Diceros bicornis minor: one gene and its partners. The main gene of each other region encodes a partner of the protein of the gene in region 3 in a complex. Links are inferred from orthologs where the notes say so. Each region holds a gene or a part of one and is shown on either strand. Other genes may lie near its edges. The genes, in order: PPP4R4, PPP4C, PPP4R3B and serine/threonine-protein phosphatase 4 regulatory subunit 2.

Region 1 (6,832 bases), on a different chromosome or scaffold from region 3:
GGTAATTGCATTAGTTTCCTATTGCCTCTGTAACCAATTACCACCAATCTAGTGCCTTAAGACAACACAAATTTATTATCTTATAGTTCTGGAAGTTAGAACTGGGTTTCACTGGGCTAAAATCAAGGTGTCAGCAGGCTGCGTCCCATCTGGAGGCTCTAGGAAAGTTGTTTCTTTTTCTCCTTTTCCAGCTTGTAGAGGCTGCCCACTAGGGCCTCCTTTCATATTCAAAGCCAGCAACGGCCAGATACTCTCCCTACCTTAAAATCCTTAGATCAGTCACGTCTTCAAAGTCCCTTTTGCCAGGTAAGGTAACACAGTCACAGATTCAGGGGATTAGGATGGGCATCTTTGGGAGAGCACTATTCTGCCTCTCACAATAATCAATTGATCCAGCACAATTTGTTAAATCTTTTCTGAACCTGGGTACAGGGGGAACACTGGTCTGGTGGTAATGATAATAATAGAAAACACTGAACACTTGCTAGATGCCAGGTATTTCCTCTAAGCATTGTATGTACATTATCTCATTTAATTCTTACAACAAGACTTTGTGCTAAGTACTACTATTATTCCTGTCTTGAGTTGAGTAAAGAGAGGTTAAGTACCTTGCCCACAGTAGGAAGTAGCAGGGCTAGGATTCAAACCCAAGCAGGTGGGCTCCAAAGTCCATGCACTTAACCACTATGCTGCTGTTGAATGAATAAATCTAGCTTCCCTTAGCTGTGTCCTCAAGCCTAAGTCACATAACTTCTCTGAGCCTCAGTTTCATTACCTGTAAAATTGCAATAGTGGTGCAATTCTTCTGTACTTCACAGGGCTGCTTCAAGGGCACAAGGAGACAAGTTGCAAAAAAAGCACTTCAGATGTGGAAAATGGGGCTCGTTGTTCCACTGCATATCACTGGCGGAGCCAGGACTGGGCCTCAGGTTTCCTGGCAGCCAGGCTGGGGTGGGCTATTTCCACCACAGGCTGGTAACTATAGCAGTAACAGATCCCAGTCATCAAACTGAACATTTTCCCTTCATCAACCTCCTGGCCTATAACAGCCAACATCAGAGTTACATCTGTATATTCAATCAATTGCTCATTAAGAATGTCATCAAGTCTCAAATGATGCTGTTACAAAATCCAAATATGAAATAATACTTCTTAGCTGAAACAGGGTAAAGTTTACAAGTATTATTTAGTATCTGTTACAAATGAAGGGGAAAAGGAGGAGAATTCTGGAAATTGACATAAAGGGTAGGCTGCAAGGTATTTGCTAGGGAAAACCACCTCCCCCACATCTTTGCCTCTTCTCCATCCTCATCCCAGCAAGATCCACCCCTTTTGATTTTCCCTTCACACCTCCTTAGTGGAGCAGAGATCAGAAAGCCTGAATTTCAGCTTTGAGGTGACCCACGACTCTTTTTGCTTTGAACTCGAAGGCAATATGGGAAAAAAGAGAGCAAGAAGTGGGAAGATTCACTCTACCAGATATTAGGACATATAACAAAGCCGTAGCAATTAAATCAGCTCAGCCCTGATTCAGAAACAGACAGGTCTAGATCAATAGAACAGCAATGAGAGGCCAGAAACAGAGATGTGTGTCTGTGCAGACTTGACATAGGATACAGACGCCATGACACATCGGTGGGGAAAAGATGGATTGTTTGGTGGGTACTGCTGAGAAAACTGGCTTACTACGTAGAGAAAATAGTATTGTATTCCTACATGCACTATACGCGAGGTGAACTCTGGATGAATTAAGACCTAACTGTGATAGGTAAAAGTATGAAGCTAAACAGGGGAAAACATAGGAGAATATTTTGTGATCGTGGGAAGGAAAAGATTCTTCAACAAGACCCAAAAAGCACACTCCACAAGGGTAAAATTTGATGCATTTGGCTAAATCAAAATTAAGGATTTCCCCTACACTGTAGGATAGTGAAGACCAAGCTAACAGGATGCGTGAAAGATTGGGAGATATTTGCAATGTCCAAGACTGACAAGAGACTAATATTTAGAATATATATGAACCCCTTCAATTCATTCAGAAAAATAACAGGAAATCTAGGAGAAAAATAGGCAAAGGATGTAAATAGATAATTCTTGGAAGGAAAAAATCTCCATGGTTAAGTATAGGGAAAAATGGTTAACATCGCTAAACATTGAAGAAATACAAATGAAAATCACAGCATGATACTACTTTATCGATATCAAGTTGATAAAAATTAGGACATCAGATAATACCAAATGTTAGCCTCTAGAGTGGGGAAACAGGAATCTTTGTATCTTCATGTGCCATTGGTGGGAGTGCACATTGGCAAAGCCATTCTGGAGGGCCACATGGCAGAGTGAAACCAGGCACTGTGGACTTCGTGACCCAGCAATTCCGTTTCTTTCTTATGGTCCATAAGAGACACGTCTAATACTCATTCCAGCATTGTCTGTGGCAACGAGGAACTGCTGGCAACCTAACTGTCCATTATTTAAGGAATTGATAAGTCAAATGTGTTAGATGCACAAATCGAATACTATCAGTGGTCAGCATTAATGAACTCCTAGTATATACAGTCTCATGGGTAGATTTCTAAGGCATTATGTTGAGCGAAAAACAGGAAACAGAGTGAGTTCCTATCACAATAGCATTCATGTATATTAAAAATAGACAAACTAAAAACAATATCTTTCCAGGATATATACACGTACTGGGACATATCTTAAACACAATGAGAGAGGGTGCAAATGGAGGGTAAAGAAATGGGAGTGTGGAGAGAGAATGAGTGGAAAATAAAAAAAAAAGAGAGAGGACTTGCTGAATCTTACGAGCTCAAGAGTAGATCAACATAACTCTTGTCCCTGAGCTCCAAAAACTCGCCCCAATCCCCTTCCATCGCTTTCTCTTCTTAACAGAATCAAAAGCAAAGAACCCAACGTGGCTGCCCAGAACAGAGCCTTTCTCCATAAGTGCCCCGCCTCTTTCCCACCCACCTCGCCAAGCACTCGCTTCCAGCACTCCGAGCTCTACTCTTACTGCACGTCCCACAATCAGAACACGCCCAGGCTTCAATCCAAAATGACCTTACTCTTATTATCTCTCTCGGAAAACTCTTACTGATCACTTAAGATTCAGTTTAAGTATTTCCCCTCCAGGAGTCCTTTTCTGACCCCTGCCCTGCCCCAAATGCGAGCCCCTCCAGGACTGGATTCCCACACCCTCCATCCTCCATCCCCCGCCCCCCCCCCCCCCCGGCACACACCAGGTTGTAATTGTTTATTTTGGGTATACACCCCTCCCCCAGGGCTGGAGCTGAGCTAGGCTGGTCTCTGCGACAGCAGCTGTCGGGCTGAGGTGGGCAGTCCCACGAATAACTGGAAAGTTATTGTACCGGGTTAAACAAGACCACAGCCCACTCCGTCTCCTTTGCTTTCTCTCTCATTGGCTCAGTCTCTCCGCCCCCGACCCCCGCCCCCAGCCCGCCTCCACCGGCTGCGGGAGGTAGAAGGCTCTGCGCAGGCGCCGCAGGGTGGGGCGCGCTCTGCCGGGGGCGGGGCGAGTGGGACTTGAGGGCGGAGAGGGGCGGGGACAGAGGGGCGGTGGGGGCCGCCGCGACGTTGCGCGGCAGTTGCGTCCGGCCCGCGTGCGCGCGGCGCCCGGGAGGGGGCGGGGCTGAGGTGGGCACTGTGCCACCTCCCCCGCCCTGGCCCCGCCCCCCCAGCCCGCCCGCGCGCCTCGCCCCGCCCCCTCGCCTGCCCCGCCCCGCCCCCTCGGCGGCCGCGCTCCTTCTCCCGCCGCCCGCTCGCCTCCCGCCCGGCTCCCGCGGCCGAGAGCGGGAGAAAGTCCTGCTCGTGGGCGGCCGCGGGGCTGCACGCGTCCGGCATCCCGGGGCCGCTCCGGCCCGGGCGGCGAGGGGGCCCGGCGGTCCATGCATCCGCCGCCGCTCGCCGCCGCGATGGATTTCAGTCAGAACAGCCTGTTCGGCTACATGGAGGACCTGCAGGAGCTCACCATCATCGAGAGGCCGGTCCGCCGGAGCCTCAAGGTGCGCCCCGGGGAGGAGGAGCTGCCCGCAGGCGCCCGGCGGCCTGCCCGGGCCCCTACCCCCTCCCATGCCCTCCCCGAGGCGGCCCGGACCCCCTCAGAGTCGGGCTGGCCCCTCAGTCCTCCTCCAGTGCCCGGTCGGCGTGTCACCCTAAACCGGCTCCTCTCGGGGCCCCGTCTTCGACGCGACGCCGGTTCTCCCGGGCTGGACCCTCTCCCCTGACCCGGGGCCAGCCCCGCGGCCCCTCGGACGCCCTCGGCTCCCTAGTCGCCGGGCGCCTTCCCCAGCCCGCCCCCAGGAACGGCCGGCCCAGTGCCCCCCCCCCCGCGCCGCCCCGCCGGACGGCCGTGGCCCGTCTTTCTCCCGGCCCTGCAGGAGCTGCCCCGCAGCCGCAGCCCCGTATCCCGGGTCCTCGCCTCCCCCCATCCCCTTGGCCCCCTGGTGCTGCCCGGGTTCTGGCCCCCGTCCCACTCCTCGGTCAGCACGGCGCCGACTCCCCCCCTCTCCCCGAGACACCCCAGATCCCCTCCCCCCATGAGAGCAAGCCCCGGTGCCCCTGCCCTCAAGTCAGCCCCGGCCTCCCTTCCCCTCCCAACCAGCACCCGTGCTAGAGTCGTCCTGCTGCCGATCTTCAAAGCCCGCCCGACCCTTTGCCCCCATCCTGAGTCACCGCACGTCCTCTCCTCCCGGCCCCTCCGCGACTCTGGCTGGGACCCTGCACCCCACCCCCCTGGAGCGAGTCAGCCTTCACCAGCTCCCCCACCCCGCAGAGTCATCTGCCTCCCAGAGGCTCCAGCCCTCAGCGCTGGCAAACCTAGTTTGCGGACCCCCCAGCCATCCTCTTAGTAGCTCCTTGAGCTCTTCTCGCTCCCACCTGCCGCAATATCTCGAATCTTTGATTTCCTTCCAGCCCCAGAGTTTATTCCCTTCCCTCCCCCTACTCCAGATTTCGCCTTTTTCGTTCCCACTGGGCTGCATCTTCATCCATCCCCCCTTTTAGCATGTCCTGGAGTGGAAAATGCTGGAGCCTTGGGGTATAAGAGATAAAAAGTATGTATATATTTTATATATGCATATAAAATTGATTTCGGCAATATTCTGAAGCCACAATTGTGATTCTCAAGCTTCACTCTAGAAGCTAGAAGAGTAAAAAGAGAAAAAAAAAAATCCAGACCCCCAAAACTCTACCACCCAAACCCGACGATTAGAGACCTCTGTGGTTGAAGTCGCCTAGAGTCCTCAGACCCGTGGTTACTTTTCAATAATGCTTAATTGTGAAACTTCATTAGTCTAGACTCATACAGGGTCCCTGATGGATATTTATGTGCATGATTTGTGTTTTACACTTGACAGACACCAGAAGAAATAGAAAGACTGACAGTTGATGAAGACCTCAGTGATATTGAAAGGGCTGTGTATCTGCTCAGGTATTTCCTGAAGTCTTTCTGTGAAATTCCTGCTCTTTCTCTGTGGCAGCATCCATGAATGCTTTCTGAAATGTCATGTTATGGTTATGTTCAAATTTCCTTAACCACTTGAACAGAGTACTTTTGTCTGTGTAGCACTTAATTATGTTATAAATTAAGAACTAGACATAGACTTATAAATTTGAGAACCGAAATCAAATAACATACCTAACTTATAGAAGATTGTTTGGAGGAGGAGGAACAACAATTAATGTTTTGAGTTGAATCTCATTCTTTTTTTAAATTTTCCAGCTTTGGTTGTTCTCATATAATATCCAATAAGTTTAGATGAGACTTAAGAATATACAGTGATTAATTGTAAGTTAATTGTAGTGTATGAACCTTACATGCTATTTAGTGTATAGAAAAAGAAATCCACAAAGATGGTAGTTCAATTTGTTGCTCAGGATGTCCTGTTTATATTACTTTTGCAATGTGAGCTTTATAATTTTGCCTGAGCGATTTTAAAATTTCGTTGAGCCTACTCTGATTTAATTTTCGTATCACAAGCTCTATAGAATTGCTTAAGGCAAATGGTTATTGCAAATATTTACAAGATTTCTCTCAACTATTTGAAAAATTGTGTTGTGGATTTATGTTCTTAAAAGCTAATGTGGTGAACATTAAGGAACATATCTATGAAAATACTTAAGAAACAGAAATTCTCCTAAGGCATTTCGTGTACATTGGTTTTACAATTTTTCTTTAACTTGCATGTTTTTTCGCCTTTGGCAAGTTAGTTTTTGCTTTGGTTCTCAGAATCAGATTTTGAAAACTGGTGTTATTTCCCTCCTGGGATGTTTGTCATCTCTATTTCCTTAGCTCAAGTCTGCTTTGCCAGTTTCAGTTGCTGGCAAGTTTCTTGTTCTCCTTTCTTGTTTTATAGATCATGTTTCCAGTCCCCTGTTATTCATTGAATGATCCTGCGGAAAAAAAAATCTCCTCTCCGTGACTTCCATTTTCTTAATTATTCTGTAGCCTCTTAGTGGCATCTTCGGTTCTGTTATTATTTGAGTCAGAATTTTAGCATTCTTGCAATTTGGACCATTCTCTCCAGTAATTCTACCACTTGAAAATGTTTCTGGATCTTAGACTTTATGTTGATGTCATTTCCCCTCCTCTTTTGTTAATCTATGGTAGCATGCTCTCATCATTTCTACCTATTTATTTAAAAGAAAAACTATCTTATTTATGTGTAAATTAACGGTATGTGTTTTTGGTGTTTGCATAGAGAATAATCTAAGGTTTAACCTATTTTGACATTTTATTGTGTTATGTTTGAAGTACTTATTCCTCAATAATTAACATGTCCAGCATGGTGAACAATAATTGTAAACA
Region 2 (6,987 bases), on a different chromosome or scaffold from region 3:
GAGTGGGACTAGAGAGGAGAAGAGGGTACTAGAGATGATTTCTCCTGTTTTATGTTGTTGTCCTCACCCCAACAGGTAGACAAGGGCGTGGTACCCCTGGCAGGAACAAACGGCGAGACGACCACCCAAGGTGAGAACTGTTTGGCTCCCTGCCTTACCAACCAACCCACCCAGGTCGGTACCCCTTGGGTAACCAGGGTGAGTGGGAGCCACCTGCCCCCTCCTCTGCCATGCTCTGACTCCTCCGTCCCCTCTCCAGGGCTGGATGGGCTGTCTGAGCGCTGTGCCCAGTACAAGAAGGATGGAGCAGACTTTGCCAAGTGGCGCTGTGTGCTGAAGATTGGGGAGCACACTCCCTCATCTCTTGCCATCATGGAAAATGCCAACGTTCTGGCCCGTTATGCCAGCATCTGCCAGCAGGTGGGCCTGCAGGTCCCCAACAGGCCACCTCCCACCTCATTTTGTTCCAGAATGTCAGCTAGCCTGCCACACATCTCCCAGCATCCCTCTCTCCCTCACTTGAGGGCTTTGTAAGCAGAGGGCAGAACAGGGATTGTGTGGATGGATCTGAAGAGAAGGCTCTCGCCCACAGTCTGCTGAGGACTGTGCAGCTATGAGTCTCCGTCATCATGGAGATAAGATCTTGGCTGATGGCTGTAGAGAGCTGTAGGTGGGGCTCCGGGTTAGGAAGCCTCATGGCTACCCTGTCTTTCACCCCACAGAATGGCATCGTGCCCATCGTGGAGCCTGAGATCCTCCCTGATGGGGACCATGACTTGAAGCGCTGTCAGTATGTAACCGAGAAGGTAGGTTGTCTGGCTCCCTGGGCAGTGTGTGGTGGGCTGACCCGTCCCCCGACTCTAACCTACCCACTTTGGTCCTGCCCTGCGCTAGGTGCTGGCTGCTGTTTACAAGGCTCTGAGTGACCACCACATCTACCTGGAAGGCACCTTGCTGAAGCCCAATATGGTAACCCCAGGCCACGCCTGCACCCACAAATATTCTCACGAGGAGATTGCCATGGCAACTGTCACAGCATTGCGCCGCACAGTGCCCCCCGCTGTCACTGGTGAGACCCACACCCTCGTCTTGACCTCTGGGAGGTAGATGAACTGTACCCACAATCCTTGTGCCCACTTGGTCTGATTTCCAGGCCAGCTTCTAGGGGCTCCTACCAGCCAGTCTGCTGGATCTCTGACTACAATCCCTCCCCCCATTTCACCCCTCGCTATACAGGGATCACCTTCCTATCTGGAGGCCAGAGTGAGGAGGAGGCATCCATCAACCTCAACGCCATCAACAAGTGCCCCCTGCTGAAGCCATGGGCCCTGACCTTCTCCTATGGCCGAGCCCTGCAGGCCTCTGCCCTGAAGGCCTGGGGTGGAAAGAAGGAGAACCTAAAGGCTGCCCAGGAGGAATATGTCAAGCGAGCCCTGGTGAGGATGGCGCAGGAGGTGGGCAGGGTGGCCGGGTGGACGGGGTTCTGAGAAGAGACCTTCTTACTCTCGCTCCTTTCTCCTCTTAGGCCAACAGCCTCGCCTGCCAAGGAAAGTACACCCCAAGTGGTCAGGCCGGGGCTGCAGCCAGCGAGTCCCTTTTCATCTCTAACCATGCCTACTAAGTGGAGGTATTCTAAGGCTACCCCCTCAACACTCCAGGCCCGCCCCCTCCCACACTCATTCTTGAACAGGGGGCCTCATCCAGGGCTCTAGGCTACTTTTTCCCATCATTCTTGCCTCCCTGGTGACATTGGTGTGTGGTATTGTCTGTGTATGCTAACTCCATCGCCCTTTCCAGCCCACTGCCAATAAACAACTATTTAAGGGGGAGTCTGCTGTCCATTTCTGTGGTGTCCAGGGCAGGGGAGGGCCAGGGGAGGTGGCAGAGCCCAGAAGAAAGAGCCCTTGTTTTGTGTTCTTCCTTCTTGGGCAGGAAAAAGGTGAAGGGGGTGGGATAGGACCTTCCTATCCCCCTTGTTTTATACTTGCCCAGGGTTTCAAGAGGAGAGCTTGTGAAATTTTCTTCCAGCCACCAACTGCTCCACCCCCTTCTACCAGCAGCATCTGATAAGGCTCACAGTTGGGAAGTGTGTCTGTAACTGCTAGTCATGAGGTTGCAGACTCAGCCTCACTTTTATGCCCAGAACTCACGGGTGCAGAAGGCCCCAGTGAGAAGAACAGCCACTGACAAAAGCCAAGATTTCCTGGGTTTATGTGTTCTATATAAGATAACATAAATGTTCTATATGAGAGGTGCTGTTACCCTCAATTTATCCTTAAGGTTACAGTGCACCGAGACTGCACTGTTTCTTGGTGGAAACAAGATTGTTAATGCATATCTCCTTAATCTACACTGTTGAGCTTGCCCGTCTTCCCATTTTAACAGGAGATAGGATCAGAACTGGCTTCTTAGTCTTTGGGAACTCCTTGAAGAACCTGGAATCCTCTCTAACACCCCCCTCAACAATGCAGATAGACATACGCACAGAACTGTGGAGCTCAGGTTCCAGGTTAACAACTGAGCCTCTGTAGCTGCTGCATTCCATGAAGCCAGAATGGGCCCTGCACTTAGACCCCTATGCCATACTTTGAACCCTTCCCCAATTGCCCAGGCTGGGGTATAGCAGCAACTACACCAGGTCTTTTCAGCTATTAAAAATCCTAGTCATAACCAGGGAATAGTCCTGCCACTTCCCAAATTTCCTGTTATGGGCCCTTTCCTGTCTGAGCTGCCTGCTAGAGAAAGAAAAATCTTGACCTTTCTGATCTGTGGACCCACTGAATCCCTGTAGTGATCTTCGTAGAAGTGACTTATCTAGGACTAGGAGTTCTAGTTCTAGGAGTTTAAGAACTTGGTCCTTTCCTTCTCTCTGCACATTTGCATCTGTTGCCTGCATCCAAAACCAAACCCATTCCCTGTGCCCCTCCAAACAGGCCTCACTTCTGTGCCTAGCCTTACTCCACTTGGTGAAACAAAATCTGAAGTAAAGCAAATAAAAATTGAAGGTCAATAGAAGATAGCAAAAAGCACATTCCAAAAGGGCTCAGACATCATGAAGTTTGCTTCAAGACCAATTGCTTCCCCTCCCTGCAGCAAAGAGACCAGGGAAGCAGAGGACTTCAAACCCCAATTGTGGGAGTTTGGGACTTATTTTATGACAAAGTGAGTTCCAGAAAGAGTAAGTGACGGAGGAGAAGCTGGAGCTGAGAACACAGCTTTCCTGGGTTCAAATTTCAACCTTGCTTCAAACCCAAAATTCTTAGCTATGCGACCATGAACAAGTTAAGATCTTTGAGCCAGTTTCCTCTTCAAAAAAGGAATAAAATTGCAGACTATGGGAAGCAACTGACGGGTGTCCAGGGGACCATTCTGGAATCAGAGAGGTCGTGTTGACTGAGCCATAGGCTTGGTGTGGGGAAGGTGGACTCCCTTCTGCCTCTAACTTCGGAGGTCCTCCATGGCAGGGATTTCTCTGGGACCACTTAAGAGACATGGTTTGGCTCTTTCCAAAACCATGGAAAGAGATTTGGACCGGGATTCCTTCATCCATTGAACAAATACCTATGTATGCCTACTGTGCCAGGCCTTGTTCTAAGCACTGGGGCCGCAAGCGTGAACCAGACAAAGTACCATCCCTCTGAGATTGTAATGGGGGAGGCCAACTAAACCAGGTAAACAAAAACGTGTAACAAAGCTACAAACCGGAGCGCCCGCTCGGCTTCAGTCTCCCTAACCGAGATGGGAGGGGACTGGAGCGTGGTTTCTAGCAGCCCTCACAGCGCCAATCGGCTTAGCCCACAGTCACTTCCGCCCGCACGCTACCGGCGACCGGCTCCTTCGCCTCGGAGCGCTCCCTGGGCTTGAGGGGTGGGGCTCAGGGCGCGGCGTGGGAGGGGTTGAGTATGACGCCACGTCCGGCGCGCGGCGGCACTGGTCCCCTTTGCTTCCGCGGCGGGGCCGGAAGTAGAAGCGGCGGTGGCGGCGGCCCAAAGCGGAGGAAAGGAGCAAGGCAGGAGCTCGAGAGCCGGAGCCGGAGCCGGAGCCGGAGCAGCAGCGGCGGTAATAGTCCGAGACTCCTCTAGGCCACCGTCCCTAGCGCGGGGCCGCGGGGCTCGCGGAGCTAGCCGGGGGGTAGCCAGTGCCATGGGACGCTGGGGGTCCGGGAGGCGCTGTGAGGGGCGGCGGGGGTCGGGGGAGCCGGGCTGGCTCCAGAATTGAGTTGCCCTCCCGTCCCGGCGCCCCCCACGGACACTGATCCGCGGGCTCGTCTTCGCCTTTCCCAGGAGACCCCTGTGCGGTGCGGAGGGGGCGGCGGCCCTGGCTCTAACCCGCGCCGGGGGTGGGCCATGGCGGAGATCAGCGACCTGGACCGGCAGATCGAGCAGCTGCGGCGCTGCGAGCTCATCAAGGAGAGCGAAGTCAAGGCCCTGTGCGCTAAGGCCAGGTGAGCCCGGCGGCCCCAGGGAAGGGAGGCCCGGCCGCTGTCCACGGGTTCCGGCCTGGGGCAAACCCAGCTGAGAACTTTGGGCCTGGCTCATTCTGGAAGCTTTCTCCGAGAGCAGCAGAATAGGGCCACTTTCCTCGAGGAACAACCAGCCTGCTGGGGGAAGAAAGACCTGGATAAGGACACTTAGAAGTATTAGATGATGTGTTTTCAGTGGAGTTAGAGCGTTGTAGAAAGTACGTAGGAAGCTTAGGGAAACAGCCTTATCTGTCGGGGGAACAGAGAAGGCTTCTCGGAGGAACTGAACTTTGGGGGTAGACTTGGAAGAATAATATGATAAAAGGGAATATCAGCAGGAACAAAGTTCAAGGCAGAAAAGCTAAAGACTCTGTGGTTTATAAAATTCTTTTAATTCCAACAACAACTCTTAAAGGTGGGTGGAATTGTCTCCATTTTACAGGTGAGGACTCTCATGTTCAGAGTCAACCAGCAAGTGAGGGACGGAGTCAGAAACTAGTTCTCCGTGTCCTGTCCCCTTTTCAGGCCGTTAAGGCAAGAAGGTGGAGTTGGATCACTCTCATGTTCATTGTGGGAGCCTAAGAAATGGTAGCAGCTAAGCCAGGGTGGAATTAAGCATGCTATGGAGAGAGGCCCAACTCATAGTTCTGTAGGAAGTAGGATGATGTCGTGGTTACGAGCCCAGGCTTTGGAATGTGATGGCTCTAGGTTGGAATCTGAGCTCTGTCAGTTATTAGCTGTGTTGGTGATCTTGAGGTCTCTGACACTCAGTTTCTTCATCTGTAAAGTGGGAATAGTAGCACTTAATAAGATGGTTGTGAAAGTCAGTAAGTTGGTGCTTGGGATTAGCAGAGAGCTTTGGTACAATGTGAGTGCTCGGCAGTCTTTAGGTGGTGGTGTTATTACTGCATGGAAAGAGGGCAATGCTGATATGAACTGAAGTCATCAGGGAAGACTTTTAAGAGAAGGTGGCCTTGAAAAATGAAAATAATTTGGGTAGCTGATGGGAGCAGGGCCAGTGAGGAGGGGCATTCCAGGCAGAGTGACAGTAAGAGTGGAGGCCCTGAGATGTGTGGGCACCAATGAGGAGACCAGTTACCTGCCTCCTTGGTGCTACTGCTTGACTGTGGCTTCCCCCAAGATGGGGAATTGTGGGAAAAGAGCCAGCAGGCTTACCCTGCATTTGTTGAACAACAGGCCCACTATTAGCCTGGCTTTGTACTGGCAAAGAACTTACGGTCGTTTCCTCCCCACAGCAATCTTGGGAGGTTGGGATTATTTACTCCATTTTACAGAACAGGAAGCCATGATTCCTACAGGCCTAGTGGCTTGACTAAGATCACCCAGAGAGAAAGTGGCAGGGCTGGGTTCTGGGCCTGTGGCTGTCAGAGGCTGCATGGGTTTGGTGAACAGGCAAGGCCCCTTTTTGAATGCTTGTCTGTGGCTCTTCTGTGTTTTGCCAGCCCAAGAAAACTTCCCTGACCAGACCCTAAGATGTTTTTAGTCATCCCTGATTACTCAGTCTTGATTGGCATTTTTAGGAACTTAAATCAGTTGCTGTCTGGCACTGTTCTGCCTAGCACTATTCTTTTTCCCCGTAAGTCTTATCTGCCCGCAGGCCTGGCTCAGTTTGGTGGTGGTGATAGCTAATGCTTAAATAGCACTGTGGAGATTTCAGAAAAACAGAGAGGTTATGTGTTCAGGCTTTGTTGCTCTTTGCACAGCCCTATGGAGTAGGCAGCGCAGGGTGAGGATTTCACAGAAGAGGAAACTGAGCCTCAGAGAAGATAATGTTTTGCCTGTAGTCTCACAGCTGGTTGGAGGGGAGGTTGGTTTTGGATCCAGGTCTTGCGCTATACTCCATGCTCATTGACAGCCAGGCAGAGACATTTAGACTGTGTGAGAGGCGGCAGGGAGCTGTAGAGGACTGAGGGCTAGGCGGGTCTTGCCCAGTTGAAGCTGAGATGGAGCCAGGAGGCACTAGGCTGGGGCCTGAGTTGGCCACCATTATCGCAGGCCCAGTCTGAAGGGGGGCCAACTCTAGCACCTGGCCATGGCCTTCTGGGGGACCCACCAGGAGTCCAGGCCAAGGCTGGTAGTGTCAGAGCTTCAGCTTGCTCAGAGGGTACGTAGACTCAAATCCTTGGAACTAGAGAGGCCTGAAGTGTGTGAGTTGAACTTGCTCCTGTTAAAGACGTCAGCATATGAGACGTGCAGAGGGTTTTGAATCAGGTGGCCTCCAGTATGAGTCCCGGCTTCGTCAGCTATAAACAATATGAGCCTGATCAAGTCACTTGATCTCTCCAAGTCTTTGAAATCATTATGGAGCTCAGATGAGATTCTGCATATCCAGGAACAGGGCCTGGCTCTTTTGTAGGCACTTCCTAAAGGTAATGCTCCTCGCGGAAGTCAAGGGGAGCAGGGGCGAGCCCTGAGAGGGCTGGTGATATGCTGCAAGGGACAGAGCTGGGGTCGGAGGCTGGGCCTTGTTCCCAGACCGCGCTGGGGCCCTACTGGCACTGAGG
Region 3 (6,993 bases):
ATGGAAACCAGAATGGGTTCAACTGAGGAATGAGTAGGCAGTGAGGAAATGAAGGGAGTATAAACAATTTCAACCCTTGAATAGTTTGGCTATAAGAAGGAAAAGAAATAGGAATGCAGCTGAAGAGGATAAAAGTTATCAGTTTTGATGGTTTATTTAAATAGAGAAATCTTAAAGATCTATCACCTTAAGGAAAAAAATGAGTGAATATAGCAAAAAACGTTCATAACAGTTCTTTCATAAAAACATCTAACAGAATTGGGAAAGGTGAAAGAAAGCCTCACATTTCAAGGACATGAGTCAATTAGACTGAGAACCCAGGTTACCCTGCAGAGATTAACAATATTTTTTTTTAAACTTGCAAGAATTAAAAAGTGTAATGTGCCCTTATGGGACATTTGGTAGTGATGGGAGATAATTTTGGTTGTCACACCTGGAGAAGGGGGTGCAATACTACTGGCATCTGATGGGTAGAAGCCCGGGATACTGCTAAACATCCTGTAATGTACAGGATAGCCTCTCATAACAAAGAATCATCCAGTCCAAAATGTTAATGGTGCCAAGGCTGCAAAACCCTGCTTCAGGAATTTAACCTACAAATATACTGGCACACATGAAATAACTTCTGTACAATCATTTATTTTTGAAACTGCTGGAAATGACACAAATATACATAAATAGGAGATGGTTTAAATAAACTAGTATACATCTGTACAACAGTATGTATAGTATTGCATTATTTGTGTTTTAAAAAAAGGTAGTAATGTAAGTATTATATATATATATATATATATATATATATATATACACACACACACACGCACACACACATCAACTCTTGGAGTGGAACTTTGATGACTGCCTGAAGAAAAGAAGCTTTGCTGGGGAAAACACATTGTTGCAGTGCAGTACTGCCCTCAGACCCAAGTGAAGTGCTGGGCCCTGTGTTTCAGCAGGCCCTCTGTCCATGCTTCTCTCCATGAGGTGATAAGTCCATGGAACCCAGTCTCCCCTTTCTAGACCATGCTCTGGGCACCCTGGAATTCCCTGCCCCAAAGGCCAAGCCTGCTTCCAGGGTCTGCACAGTCCTCTTCTCAAGTTCTGTCCTCACGTGGAGTGGCCAGGGGGTAACTACATTCACGGAGTGCAGACAGGGCTTGGACAGAAAGCTGGGGTATTATATGTGTGCACATAAGGGCTGCTAAAGTACAGGACAGAGCTGAGGTAGAAGAAGAAAAGGAAGGCAGGCTAAGGACTCTGGGGCCCAGAGGGAGATTCTAGAACTCTGAGGAGTTCAAGAACACTAGATTTGAATCTGGCTTCCAGGTCATTATGAAAATATATTTGTCAAAGTATACCCAAGGTAGGAGAAGAAAATATATTTTATTCCAGTTTGTTAGCTTGATTTAAAACTTTTAAATATTTTAGACTTATGGTATATGGTCTTCCATTTGTATGCCTGTCCTGAGCCTTGCAAATATCCAGCCCTACAAATGTTACAGGTGGGCCTGTGGCAGTAGAAGAGATGTGAGAGTGAATCGCTGTGGCCTAGGGGAAGAAGAAAACAAGGGAGAACGTGTGCCTGAGGATCCAGCAATGGGGAGAGATGAGTCCTATGGGTTTAACTCTGTTCTCTTTTTCTCTAGGTCACCAGATCTTAGGGGGTATACCAGAAGAGATACTGAAGAAAAGATAGGAGGGATGCTTTGAAACCTTAGATCATTTCACTCCTTAGTTCAAAACTCTCCAGTGGATTTGCAACTCATTCAAAGTAAAATCCAAGGCTCTTCAAAATAGCCTCTCCCCCACTCCCAACCTTATTTCCCACCATTTTCCCCTTTCTCACTCCAATTCAATCACACTGGTTTCCTTGCTAACCCTTTCACTCACTCAACATGCTACAGTCTCAAGGCTTTTGTACTCGCTGTTCCCACTTCCTGGCTCTCTCTTCCTCTGGGGAAATGCTTGGCTGACTGACTGCCTCTCTCACAGAGGACTTCCTCAATACACATCATTACCCTTCCCAAACTCACTCTCTAACCTTTTGCTGCTCTATTTTCGGTCACAACATTTATCAGTACCAGGCATGTATTTGTTTATTGTCTATCTACACTAGAATGTAAGCTCCATGAGAAGAGGGACTTTTTCTATTTTACTCACTGTATAGAACAGTGCCTAGCACATAGTATATGCTCAACAAATATTTATTGAATGATTGAATAAATACAGGAAATGACTCATTTCACAATTTTGTCCAGAGTTAGATCTATTTGTAGGATATTAACCTCTTAACGTGTATAGTGTTAAAGTGACTTCTGCATAGTTCTCATTCTTTTAACTTATAAGTTCTTTTAGGCCAGTAACACATTATGACTTTGTTCACCCTGTCCCCTCAGCCTTGAAAACCTTTGCACGCCAAACTCCCACTCGATCTCTAACATCAAACTCAAAAGTTATGTATGTGAAGCTTTCCCTGATCTGAGACAGAAATATTATTTTTCTCTGGGCTCAAAATGCATTTTGTCCACATCAATTACATCAATTAACGGGCTCTATTGTTATGTATATTATAACTACTTAATTCAAGTACATTTTCTGAGGTCCTCTTTAGATTTAAAAAAATTCTATGTATCCCGAATTTGAAATTAGAATCTATTTTTTATCAGGCGCCTGCTCTGTGTAAGCCATTATCTCACGTTACATGTACCGCTGAAGGGTGTCCATGCATAAGACCTGGTCAAAACATAAGCACGTTTTGACCAGACCAGTAATAAGTAACGACTACAACTCCCAAGATACGCTGCAGGATCAACGTGTGCATCTCGCCTGGTTTTCACCTTTCAGGGTGTAAGAACTGGCGGGTGACCAAGCTGAGACCGTCTTAAAGAATAAATAAAACGATTCTACCAAGAACAAAAGAGGAATGAAATGAACGACTGTCCAACGCACGACCTGTATCCACCGCGCCATGTCTGACAACGTGAATGCCGAGAGAATTCTTCCTTCGCTTATTCAGCGCCGAAGACCTCCCGAAAGATAACGCAAGAAATGCTCGCAAGAGAAACTCAAGACTATCAAAACAATGCTCTTAGAGATGTTAGGAAAGCAGCTTCCCGCCACCTCCCTAAACTTATCTGAAGACTTATTTTCGAGGCTACAAACACGGGAAGGGCACTGTATTTTCATAAAACGGAAAGTATGCTTTTCAACGGCCAGCTACCAAAAGCCTAACGGTGAAACGCCTTCGCGGGAAATAGGAAATGGTCAACACACTTCTGTACGACGTTATAATCGCCTGGAGATGCATAGAACACTTCCTGAGGAGATGCTTAACTGTAAGAGACTCCATAACGAGTTTTAGTGGGTTCAGGTCGCTTTAAAGGGCTTCAAGTTCCTATGTCTTCACAGAAAGAGGTTTAAGACTATTTTTCTCCCACAGGCTGATAGAGTGAGCTTCTATTAAGGAACGCGAGCACATTTCCTTCCTTTTTGCACAAGGTTAGTCCCGTCCAAGGACGCATACCTCCCAGGTTTGCTTTGCTTTTTCCTCAGAGCTGGGTCCCACGGGTCGCCCCACGCCGAGCGCTAGCAGCCACCTCATGAAGCACGATCCACGACTCAGCTACCGCAGCCCGCATAGACAGGAATCTCGCGGCACCAGAGGGACGCGGAGCTCGCGAGAACCGCCCACTTGGCCGAGATCCCGCGCCAGCAGGCGGGGCCGAGAGAGGAGGAAATCGCACTTAGGCCCTCCCATCACAGTCCAGTACCCCGCCTCGCGAAAACGCCGAGCACAGCCGGGCCGGGAAGCGCGTGCAGAAGTGGAGGCGTCGCGCGTTGGACTCGTCGGCCGCCGTAGCCCCTGCTAGGACAGCCCGTGCGAGCCTGCTGGAGGAGGAAGAGAAAGGCAGAGAGAATCGGGTTACAAGATGGCGGATCTGTAGTAGTTACCGCGGCGGCGGCGGCGGCGGCGGGAGAGCGAGCGAGCTCCGGGGGGGCGAAGGGAGGGGAGAGTGGTTGTGTGCGGAGGTGAAGTGAGAGGTAACCGGGACTCTGGGCGGAGAGGTCTCGGTAGCTCTCGTTGCCCCTTCCCGCGGCTGAACCTTGAGAGCCATGGTGAACTCGGGCCTCTCCGGAGCCGCCGCCGCTGCCGCCGCCACCGCTCCGGTCTCTCAGGAGTGAGGGGTACGGACGAGGTGAGCGAGGAGGCGGCGGCTGGAGCGGTCAGGACAGCAGCCACCATGTCGGATACGCGGCGGCGAGTGAAGGTCTATACCCTGAACGAAGACCGGCAATGGGACGACCGAGGCACCGGGCACGTCTCCTCCACTTATGTGGAGGAGCTCAAGGGGATGTCGCTCCTGGTTCGGGCAGAGTCCGACGGTAAGGTTATTGGAACGGTAGGATAGGGGACAGTGCCTCCGGTTAGGGCACAGCCCTGGGGTTTAGGCCCTGGGCCGAGTACTGTTACTACCATGTCTTGGGACAGCGCAGTGATTTTGTGCCTGCACTTCTGTACGGTAAAAAGAAACTACTTGCCCGGATTAACCCTCAGTCCGATGCCGATTCTCCGTTCCCCCGCCTCCTATCCCTGTTAAGGATTTGACCCCTTCCTCTCCAGTCTCTTCTTTTGAAGAGGATAGTGTGAAAGAGAAGGAAGTAATGAGAGACAAGGTAGTGATCTACTGGTCCGAGGGAGCTGATCCCTTCCCTTTTTTTTTAAAATTTTCTTAGCCATATTTATATATATGTCTGGTACAGAAGGTTTAGTGGAACTTGCCTGAGTTTTTTTTTTTTAACTTTTTACCAACGAGCCCCAGTTGCCACAGTCGACAGGTGCTGGGGAAAAGCAAAAGGCATCTTTTTCTGGGGTTATTGCAGACTGTTACCACGATACGTGCACGCACAAGCATATACACATCTTTAGTGTGGGATCCCTCCAGGCTGTTTTCGTAGAGAGTGCTGTGAAAAAGTGGATACTTCACAACCTAAACAAGTTAGGACACCAAAGCAGATTGTAAACTTGTATTCGTTGATTTATTGTACGAGTCATATGTAAAGTATTTTTAAATTATAAAATATAGAGCTGTAATTAAAACATTTTTCTCATTGTAATTGGAATGCCTCGATTTGAGCAACTATGTGCAGATAATAGAAAAATAACAATCTTAGATTTATTCTTGACGTATTTGTACTCTTGCACTTTCCTTTTTATTTTAAACAGTCATGGACATTTATTACTACATGAGATGTCCTACCTTCTGTTGTTAAGGAAAAAAAGATAAAACGCAGTTCTGTAGTTTGTGTACTAAGTACTTAGACCCCTGTTGTGGTCCTTTGTAATTTGTTTTATTTGTTAAACTGGAATGCAATAAAATAACTTGGCTAAAAAGAGTTTGGCCTCAAGTGGTTGTTTAGACCTTAAAATTTTCGTTTCAATAAAACTTTAATAGTCATTTAGTCTCCTTATATTCTTGGTCTGAATGTTGGTCTTAGATGGATTTTTTCCTTTAAGGGGGTATGGGGATAGGATGATACCTTCTAAATTAAATGTGAAGCCCAGATCTGGAGAGAAAAATGTGAGTTCGAATATATTTGATACTTCAGATGTCTGGCTGGGTGAAGGGAACATAAGTTTTTTTTGGTTTGGTTTTTTTTTTTAATGTGGATTCTGATTTTTTATTCGGGATTTTATCAATTAAAACTTACAAATACTGTTTTTTATCTTTCAGGATCACTACTCTTGGAATCAAAGATAAATCCAAACACTGCATATCAGAAACAACAGGCAAGTAGTTGTTTATCTTTAATTTGAAAGACTTCATCTGTGATCAAGGAAGTATTAATCTGACAAAGATGGGAAGGCTTTCCTGACAAGAAAAAACATGTTTGGTAAACAAAGTTACAGACCATATGTATTTCCCTTGCACGTTAAAAGTTTCAAACTGAAGAGTGAAAGTTTTTTGTACTGGCAGTAATTTATTATCTTTGAAATGAGCCTATGTTAGTTTGTATTAGAATACAATGTATTAATTAGTCTTATTTAACTACAGTTAGCCAGATCTCTTCTATACCCTGTACACTAAGCCTTTTATTCTCGATCACATTTAGAGGAAATGGCATAAAAGAAAATTCAAAGAGGTACTCTTAAAATCAAGGAAAGCCTGTTTGTGATGTGAAATTAGATCCTTTGGCTGAAGCAAAGGTCGAGTTTTTGAAGTAGAAGCATTTAAATCCTGTTCTTTAATTGTGTATTTTTAATATAATAATCAGTGGATACTTTACAAAAGTGTACATTGCCGGTTATGTAATGTTTTCTGTTAATATTTATTGTCTTGGGGAAAAAAACCTGTGTTGTGTTTTAACATGCCTAATTATTTAATCTGGAAATGGCAGCAGTGATTCACCCTTTCTTTATTATGTGAATGTTTTCATTTTTATTATGAAAGATTTCAAAATTGAAAAGTACAGAGAAAAATCTGATGAATGTCCTTGTAACACGACTAAGTTTAACAATGTTAACATTATACCATATTTGCTTCAAAGTTTTGTGTAATGTTGAACGTTGTGGATAGAGTTAAAGACCCCTCTGTACCCATCTCATTATATCCATTCTGCATCCTCCCTGTTGGTAACCACTATTCTGAAGTTGATGTGTATTATTTCTGTACATGCTTTTATACCTTCTCTGCATATGTATGTATCCATAAATATGTAGTCTTTTGTGTGTTTTTAAACTTTGCACAATTGATCTAGACTCTTACATGTATTTCTGCAACTTTCATTTTTCACTCAATGTTATTTTGAAGATTTCTTTGTGTTAACAATGTAGATCTAGTTGATATTTTTTTAAACACTGTATAGTATTCTGATATATGATATATACCTGTTAGATATTTGGATTATTTTCAGTTTTTTGTGTGTGTGGTGTGTAAAGTGAATATGGCAGAGATTTTTAAAGGAAAAGATAAATTTTAGGATTATATTTACATC
Region 4 (7,299 bases), on a different chromosome or scaffold from region 3:
AACTCAACGAAGTCATCCAGCTCGGCAGTACTCCTCTTTGCCAGCCTCCTCTCCTAACACTGCTCTTCGGCTCAACACGGCCACCAGCAGCAATCACACGGTTGTGGCACCACAGGAAGCAACCCAGAGTCTTTCAGAACAGATCCTTTGTTACCCTTATTTCCAATAAAAATGTGTTAGCTTTGGAGAGTCTCTAGAAAAAAGTTAACCCTGATGATACGTGAAACTACCCTCTTAACTGTTTAGAAAATTGTTTCCCCTTATTTTGTCCACCTTCCTACCTCAGCTTCATCTTGATACCCACTACGACATATAAATAAGGTCCAAAAGGCATGAGTAAAAGGCCATGAGAATCAAAGAGCCTCCAGGGCCGGCCCTGTGGCTTAGCGGTTAAGTGCGCACGCTCCACTGCTGGCGGCCCGGGTTCGGACCCGGGCACTCACAGACGCACGGCTTCTCCACCGTGCTGAGGCCGCGTCCCACATACAGCAACTAGAAGGACGTGCAGCTGTGACATGCAACTATCTACTGGGGCTTTGGCGGGAAAAAATAAATAAATAAAATCTTCAAAGAGCCTCCAAGGCTTTCTGTAGTGGTGTTTTAACCCGGCCTGTTCCCTGTCCTCCAATCCTTGTAGACGGAGTGTGAGTTTTTCTAGACTTTTCCTCAATCCCCTCTTCATGTCCCTTCCCACAGCCTCATCCCCGAGGCATGGTCAGACTCCAGTAATTCTCCCTGGGGTTATAAGAAGATCCTCAAGCATTTTCTCTGACATGGTCCCAGCTGTTTTCTCTCTCTCACTTCTCTTTCTGTTTCCATCTTCCACCTCCTACTCTGTGTTTTCTCAAGTTCGGGCTTTTTCCCTCTTGCATATTCCTGGAGCAATGAGCCCGTCTTCCACATTGATGTGTGGTTTACGTTTATTTAAGGTCCATCTCCTCCATCAGACCATGAGCTCCGTAGGGGAAATAGAGTCTAGTTACATCTTCTCCCTACACCCAGGAGGCCCTCAACGACTGTTCGCCTGGTTAATACCATTCCCTCTGCCTGGAAGTCTCTTCCCTGTAGGTGCAAACTTTTTCCAGTCTTTAAGCAAGGCCTTTCTAAAGAGCAACTTCTATCCCTGCCTGGAAGAGATTTCGAAGGCCTCTGACCACCCAGTTCGCATACACTCCTTCTACTTTGCATCAGAATCTATGCTCTGATATACCAAACTATACTTTTACAGCGTACTCTTATCTCTCCCGGTAGTTTGCAACCTTCTTGAGGACAAGAAAGTGTTTGGGGGCTTTGAAGTCAGTCCAGGTCTGAAACATGGGTCAGTCACTTGCTTGTGTAGTTGTGTGACCATGGGCAAGTTAGTTCACCTCTTTATACCTCAATTTTCCCTTCTGTTAAGTGGGATAATAATATCACCTATCTCATAGGATTTTTGCTAGGATTACACTGGCTATTTTTGTAACAGAGAATACTTAATAAATGTTAGCTGTTACTATTAATATTCTCATTTGTCGCATTAGTTATCTATTGCTGTGTAACAAATTATCCCAGAATTTGGAAACTTAGAACAATTATAAACATTTGTCATCTTTCATAGTTTCTGTGGATCAGGAATTGAGGAGCAGCTTAGATGGGTGGTTCTGGCTTGGGATCCCTCATAAGGTTGTGGTCCAGATGCCAGCTGGGGCTGCAGTCATCTGAAGGATTTCTGTAGGCTGAAGGACCCACTTCTAACGCCTCGGTTCTTCTCCATTGGGACCTTTCCCCAGGGCTGCTCTAATGTTCTCATGACATGGCAGATGGCTTCCTCTAGAGCCAGCAATCCAAGAGCCCAAGGCAGATGCCAAAGCATATTTTACGACCCAGCCTCAGAAGTGAAACACCATTCCCTCTGCCACACTCCTACTGGTCACACAGGCCAGCTCTGATTCAGTGTGGGAGGAGACTACACTAGGGCGTGAATCCCAGGAGACAGCACAATTGGGGCAATCTCAGAGGCTGGCTGTCACATTTACATTCTGTTTTCTTCCAAAGGGATTAGTATCAGTGAGAGGCTCTAGCAACCACAGACATTGTGATGCATGCTGCCTAGAGAATTCCAAGGAAGGAGAAAGAAATGAACCGCAGAAATAATTCTTCACCCTCATCTCTTGCCACTTCTGCCCTTGCACTCTCAGCTCAATTCAGACTGAATTTCTTATGGCTCTTCAGAACCCACCTGGCTCTTCTCTCTCATTTCAAGGCCTGTGCACTGATGGTTTTCCTGTATGAAAGCTCCTCTTGGCTACCTTCCTCTCATAATTCGGGTCTCAGCTTAAATACCTACTTCCTCCAGGGAAACTTTCTCTGATCCCCCAGGCTGCTGCTGCTGTGTGTACTTTGTCTCCTGTCATGGACTTTTCCAGTGTTTAGAAGTTGAGGCAACCCCAAGTGAGGGGAACAGTTGATGAAAACAGACAAAGCAAGGTGAAAGAAATTAGCATGGTATATTGTCTAACAGAAAGTTCCAAAAGAACTTTTTGCAATAGTGGAATTTTCTTTATCCATGCTATATAATATGGAAGCCGCTAGCCACCTGTGGCTATCAAGTACTGGAAATGTGGCTAGTGTGACCGAGGGACTGAATTTTACTGAAGAACTCAGGAACTGAATTATAAATTTTATTTAATTTTAATTAATTCAAATTTAAATACCCACACATGGCTAGTGCCAACTGTATTGTCCCTCACAGCTCTTGCAGGAAGAGGCCTGCCTGAATAGAGGACAGGGTGGCAGGGAGAAGTGGAGACTAAGCTTTGCTGTGTAGAGAGTAGGCCCCTTCAGATCAGAAGGGACCAGATAAACTAAATCTATGGTGAGTGCTGGCCAAGTGTTTGATGATGACACTCCCTTATACCCCCCTGCAAGTCTATTTGTAATTGAGCTGGATGCTCTGAACAATGGAAGAGTTTCAAGACACAGGGGACTGGTTCTCTGATGGCAAAATTGAGAGAAGTATTTTGTGTGGGGGCAGCTTTTGCCTACCTCTGCCACGTGGGGTCAGGGTTAGGGTCAGGGTCAGGGCCATCGTCTTTTAAGAGAGTCAACAGTTGCAACAGCTTGTGTCCAAATCTGCACCTTCTAAGACAAGAAAAGAAATAGTCTTTCCTCCCTCCCTTCCTTCCTTCCTTGTGCTAGGCTTTGAGAGGAGAAGGTGGAACAAGTTAAGATCTTTTCCTTGAAAAGCTCACAGACAAGAGAAGACAATAAAAATGTCCACACGCTGGCTGGGAGCCAGATGTTCTGGGTTCTGGTGCTGTTTTCCAGGCTAGCTCTCTACGCCTCAGCTATCCTATTGGTAAAAATGCCAGGCCTGGAGAGGACTTCCGAGGTCCCCGCCCTCTCTAACTTCCTGGGCGCTTACGCAATGTCATCAGAATCATGATAATAAAAACAACAGCCACGCTAACTGAGTGCTTACAAGTTCTAGTTGTCGTTAGTGCCGTGGAATCGACTCCGACTCCGAGTGACCCAGCATACAGCAGATGAGAACCCTGCCCGGGCTTGTTTAAGGCCATCCTGTCACCTGTGGCGCTGTATCAGACAGTGTGCTAAATGCTTCATATTCTCCATTTCACTCAAGCCTCACGGCTGTTTTACAAATCCCCACTTTGTAGATGAGAAAACTGAGGCTCCATGAGTTTAAATAACTAGTCCAGGGTCACACAGAGAGTAAATAGTTGAGTTGGGCTTTGAATCTAGCTGGGTCCAATCCCTAAGCTTTTAATCCCTTTGCTGTATGCATTGCTTCTCTTCAAGGGTGAGTCAGTGACGAACGCTGGGTTCAGGCAGGGAGGTATTCTTGTTTCGATTGTTAGTAATACCGACTGTTTGTTTACGCACACTCGGACCGCTGTGTGTACACACGCTCATTTAATTCTCACAGCAACTAACAGGGTGGTCGGTACTAGATTGTAGAGATGGGGAAATTAAGGCTCAGAGAGGCTCAGTAAATTGCTCAAGGTCACACAGCCAGCAAAAAACAGGCACTCAAAGCCAGGGGTCTACCTCCAGCCCCTTGCCTTGACGACTCGGTCTCCAGCACCGCGCAGGCACGGCGGCGGCCACCAGCAAGGGAGCGGCCACCAGCAAGGGAGCGGCCGGCGCCTGCCGAGTCTCGGTCGGCCCTAGGGGCACGCCTCCGCCGCGCACGCGCTCTCGGGCTCCGGGTCGGGGCGCGCGGCGGGCGCGAGGACGGCGGCGGGGAGCGTGCGCGCGGTGACGTGCCGGGCGCCATGTTGGAGGGCTGGTGGTAGCGGCTCGGGGAGGTGCTCGCTCTCTCGGTCTCGCTCTCTCTCGCTCGCTTCCCCCGGCTCCCTTCGGTGCCCCCCCCGGTCGCCTGCGTGACGGAGTGTGTGCGAGGGAGGGGGAGGGCGTCGGGGGGGTGGGGGGAGGCGTTCCGGTGCCCGGGAGACCCGCGGAGGGAGGCGGAGGCTGCGAGGGACTCCGGGAAGCCATGGACGTCGAGAGGCTGCAGGAGGCGCTGAAAGGTGGGGGTAGCTGCCCCCTCTCCCTTTCTCCACCCCGCGCGGCCCTCTCCCCTCTCCCTTCGGGGCGGGTGCCTCCGAAGGCCGGGGCCGGGCGCGGGCGGCGCGCTTCCCCGGCTCCCATCCCCCCTCCCGCCTCCCCAGGGGCGGGGAGCCCTGTGGGCAGCTCCCTCCCGCCCCGCTCTGGGCTTTGTGTCGGCCGCCGGCGTCTGGGCTGGGGGAGGGGAGCCGGGGACGCTCTCGCCGGGGCCCCAGCCCCTCTCCCACCCCTCCGGGTGCAGGTCTCGGGCCCGCAGCCCGCTCCCCGGCGGGCTCGGTTCCCCGGCAGGCCCCCGCCCGCCAGGCGTCGGGGGGAGAGAAAAAAGTAAAAGGTCGGGGGCGGAGGGGGCGGCAGAGCAACTTTGAAGTGTCTCGGGAAGCGTTTTGCGGGGCTTCTGAAGTCATCTTTCCACGCGCCCTCCTTCTAAGTGGTCGCCCTCGCTGCTCTTGATCGGTCGCCTTCTAAGCAACAGGCTTGGGAACAGCGTTCTCAAACTTAGAATAGCGTGGTTTCAGCGTTTCGAGAATTGTGTTTTGACATCCAGAGTCATTTGGGGACGGCTACAGGCGGTAGCTGGTGTTTCTTAAACGCAGATTTATGAACCTTCCTTAGATAAACAATTTGTGGGGGTGGGGGCCTGGGATTAGTTTTTTAACCAGCTTCCCGGGTGAATCTGATGCTGGTGTGCCCCCGGACTGCACTTTGAGAAACACTGCCTTAAGGATGGTTTGTGGAGAAGTTGAGTGCCCCCTTTAGGAGGATTCTTGTTACCTGTGAAGAGGGTGACATGTTGGAAGTTGAATTTGGGAGAGTCAAGGTGGTTATTTGGTTGAGAGGCTAATTTTTTTTTTTTATTGTTAATGTGAGGAAGGACTGGGAGGAAAGTTTGTTTGTAGAGGGCATTGGAGATGGTCGATGGACTTTGAGAAATACTGATAACTTTTCTTTCTTCTCTTATCTAGATTTTGAGAAGAGAGGGAAAAAGGAAGTTTGTCCGGTCCTGGATCAGTTTCTTTGTCATGTAGCCAAGACTGGAGAAACAATGTGAGTTGAAAACATGTATTCGTTGTTATAGACCTATGTATCATTCAGAATTGCTTAGGAAAGGGAAAAAAGTGTTTTTCAGAAGAATTGAAGAATCCATCTAGCTGAACTGTACAAGTTCAGTTCAGTCATTTAAAACATTTACTAAGTGCATACACTTTATTTACTTTATGCATGCTCTGTAATGAATTTTTAAAATTTGTTAAGTTTTTCTTTATAGCTAAGCCTTGGTACTTTTAGAAGTTACTGGTCTAAAAGAGCCGGAGAAAGGAAGAATGCCTACTCCCATTATAACCCTTTTTGGCCATAACAGGCTTATTCCCAGAATTTTGTGGCTTTGATTCTGTTTCAGATTCTTTTGTTGCCGGTATTTTCTCATATTGTCCTGTATCCAGCCCTTTGTTGTCATATTTATGTATGTGGGTGTTTGAAGTGTCACTTCTGTTTATTCTCTTGAGGACTCAGGGTGATTATCTGACAAATTCCAGATGCTACAGTTTTGACTGTCCTGTAAACTTTCTAGGATAGCTAACTTGTTACATGTGCTCAGCATTTTGTTAGGCTTGTTTCCAAGTGTTGTGAATTTGAAACTTATACTATGAAGTTAGGACTGTTTTCAAAAGAACGTTCCAGTTTGATATGTGAGTAGTTTGTGTGGCAGGAGCTGTTTTCACACTTTGGCTAAGTTGATTTGTAGAGAGCAGTGCAGATTTGGTAACTTCCTTTTAGTCTTTTCTTTGGGTACGGAGTGCGAGTGCGGAGCAGGAAGGGGAAAGGTTTCTTTGGCTGCGGTGTTAATAAGTGGGCTTCCTTTTGGCTCCCCTACTTCTTGCCTATTTTAAAATTCATTTTGAGGCCCAATATAAGAGTGGAAGCTTCAGCAAGTGATGTATACTTTCTTTCACTATTAGCAAATGTTCATTTCTCACAAGATTTGCTTATGGTTGTAATGTAGCCTTCTAATAATTAGCCTAATTTTAGAAAGGAAAAAAAACTTATTTAATGGTCGTGTAGACAAGCTGAACTTCCTTAATGCATTATTAAGATTACCAGTCAACTTGAGAATGTGACTGTGATCTGTTCAATCTTATATTTATTACATTTTAAAAATGGAACCCTTTAGGGGGAAAAAAGTCATTTTTGCCTCTGAATTATAGTCTCTTAGAACATCTTGATTTTTAAAAATTGATGCAAAATAACTGGTATTTATGTAAATAAGCTTAAAAATGACTAGATGCCAGCTTTCAAAAATAATTCCTAAATCATAAATGCTTAGATTGCCACTATTTCTTTTGAAATGCTAGTTGGTCCAAACTTACCCCTCTCAAGAATATCAAGAGGAAAAGCATTTTACTTTCAGAATTTTGGATACATAAAATTATATTAAACTATCTGGGGATAGATACTTAAAAGCTCTTCTCTTATTTAGCTTATCAGGTCTGTATAAACTGCCTTTCCTTTATGATGAAATATATTGTCTATAAATGTATAAATAGTTGAAAGTTTCCAAAAGAAAGCTTTTTAAAATTCTGTCTAACTGGATCACCAAGTGGCTAGGGAAATTTAACCTGATGTTTCTGGGAAGTTATTTTATCCTGATAGAGAACTTAAACTAGCTCCTCCTCCCTCCGGTTAGGTGCTTGTCCATTTTATTTCAAATGTTTTGTATTAAAATGATTGGTGGTGGTA

The links.
Region 1: PPP4R3B (region 3) and PPP4R4 share a complex: the UniProt entries of both Homo sapiens proteins name them as parts of the PP4 complex. The link is inferred for Diceros bicornis minor from reciprocal best matches to the Homo sapiens genes PPP4R3B and PPP4R4.
Region 2: PPP4R3B (region 3) and PPP4C share a complex: the UniProt entries of both Homo sapiens proteins name them as parts of the PP4 complex. The link is inferred for Diceros bicornis minor from reciprocal best matches to the Homo sapiens genes PPP4R3B and PPP4C.
Region 4: PPP4R3B (region 3) and serine/threonine-protein phosphatase 4 regulatory subunit 2 share a complex: the UniProt entries of both Homo sapiens proteins name them as parts of the PP4 complex. The link is inferred for Diceros bicornis minor from reciprocal best matches to the Homo sapiens genes PPP4R3B and PPP4R2.

Annotation. Positions count from the first base shown.
Region 1 is NC_080763.1:39,886,254-39,893,085, reverse strand, and holds the start of PPP4R4 (serine/threonine-protein phosphatase 4 regulatory subunit 4), read left to right. Parts: upstream 1-3,829; 5' UTR 3,830-3,911; coding exon 3,912-4,028; intron 4,029-5,381; coding exon 5,382-5,455; intron 5,456-6,832. UniProt on the Homo sapiens protein: Putative regulatory subunit of serine/threonine-protein phosphatase 4.
Region 2 is NC_080765.1:21,875,166-21,882,152, forward strand, and holds the start of PPP4C (serine/threonine-protein phosphatase 4 catalytic subunit), read left to right. Parts: upstream 1-3,970; 5' UTR 3,971-4,059; intron 4,060-4,283; 5' UTR 4,284-4,346; coding exon 4,347-4,444; intron 4,445-6,987. Other genes in the region: ALDOA (fructose-bisphosphate aldolase A), read left to right, coding at 76-130, 260-420, 723-806, 895-1,069, 1,237-1,436, 1,526-1,621. UniProt on the Homo sapiens protein: Protein phosphatase that is involved in many processes such as microtubule organization at centrosomes, maturation of spliceosomal snRNPs, apoptosis, DNA repair, tumor necrosis factor (TNF)-alpha signaling, activation of c-Jun N-terminal kinase MAPK8, regulation of histone acetylation, DNA damage checkpoint signaling, NF-kappa-B activation and cell migration.
Region 3 is NC_080751.1:30,881,004-30,887,996, forward strand, and holds the start of PPP4R3B (serine/threonine-protein phosphatase 4 regulatory subunit 3B), read left to right. Parts: upstream 1-3,978; 5' UTR 3,979-4,241; coding exon 4,242-4,383; intron 4,384-5,732; coding exon 5,733-5,788; intron 5,789-6,993. UniProt on the Homo sapiens protein: Regulatory subunit of serine/threonine-protein phosphatase 4 (PP4). May regulate the activity of PPP4C at centrosomal microtubule organizing centers.
Region 4 is NC_080741.1:71,096,878-71,104,176, forward strand, and holds the start of serine/threonine-protein phosphatase 4 regulatory subunit 2, read left to right. Parts: upstream 1-4,284; 5' UTR 4,285-4,495; coding exon 4,496-4,529; intron 4,530-5,066; exon of another isoform or gene 5,067-5,135; intron 5,136-5,186; exon of another isoform or gene 5,187-5,383; intron 5,384-5,528; coding exon 5,529-5,610; intron 5,611-7,299. UniProt on the Homo sapiens protein: Regulatory subunit of serine/threonine-protein phosphatase 4 (PP4). May regulate the activity of PPP4C at centrosomal microtubule organizing centers.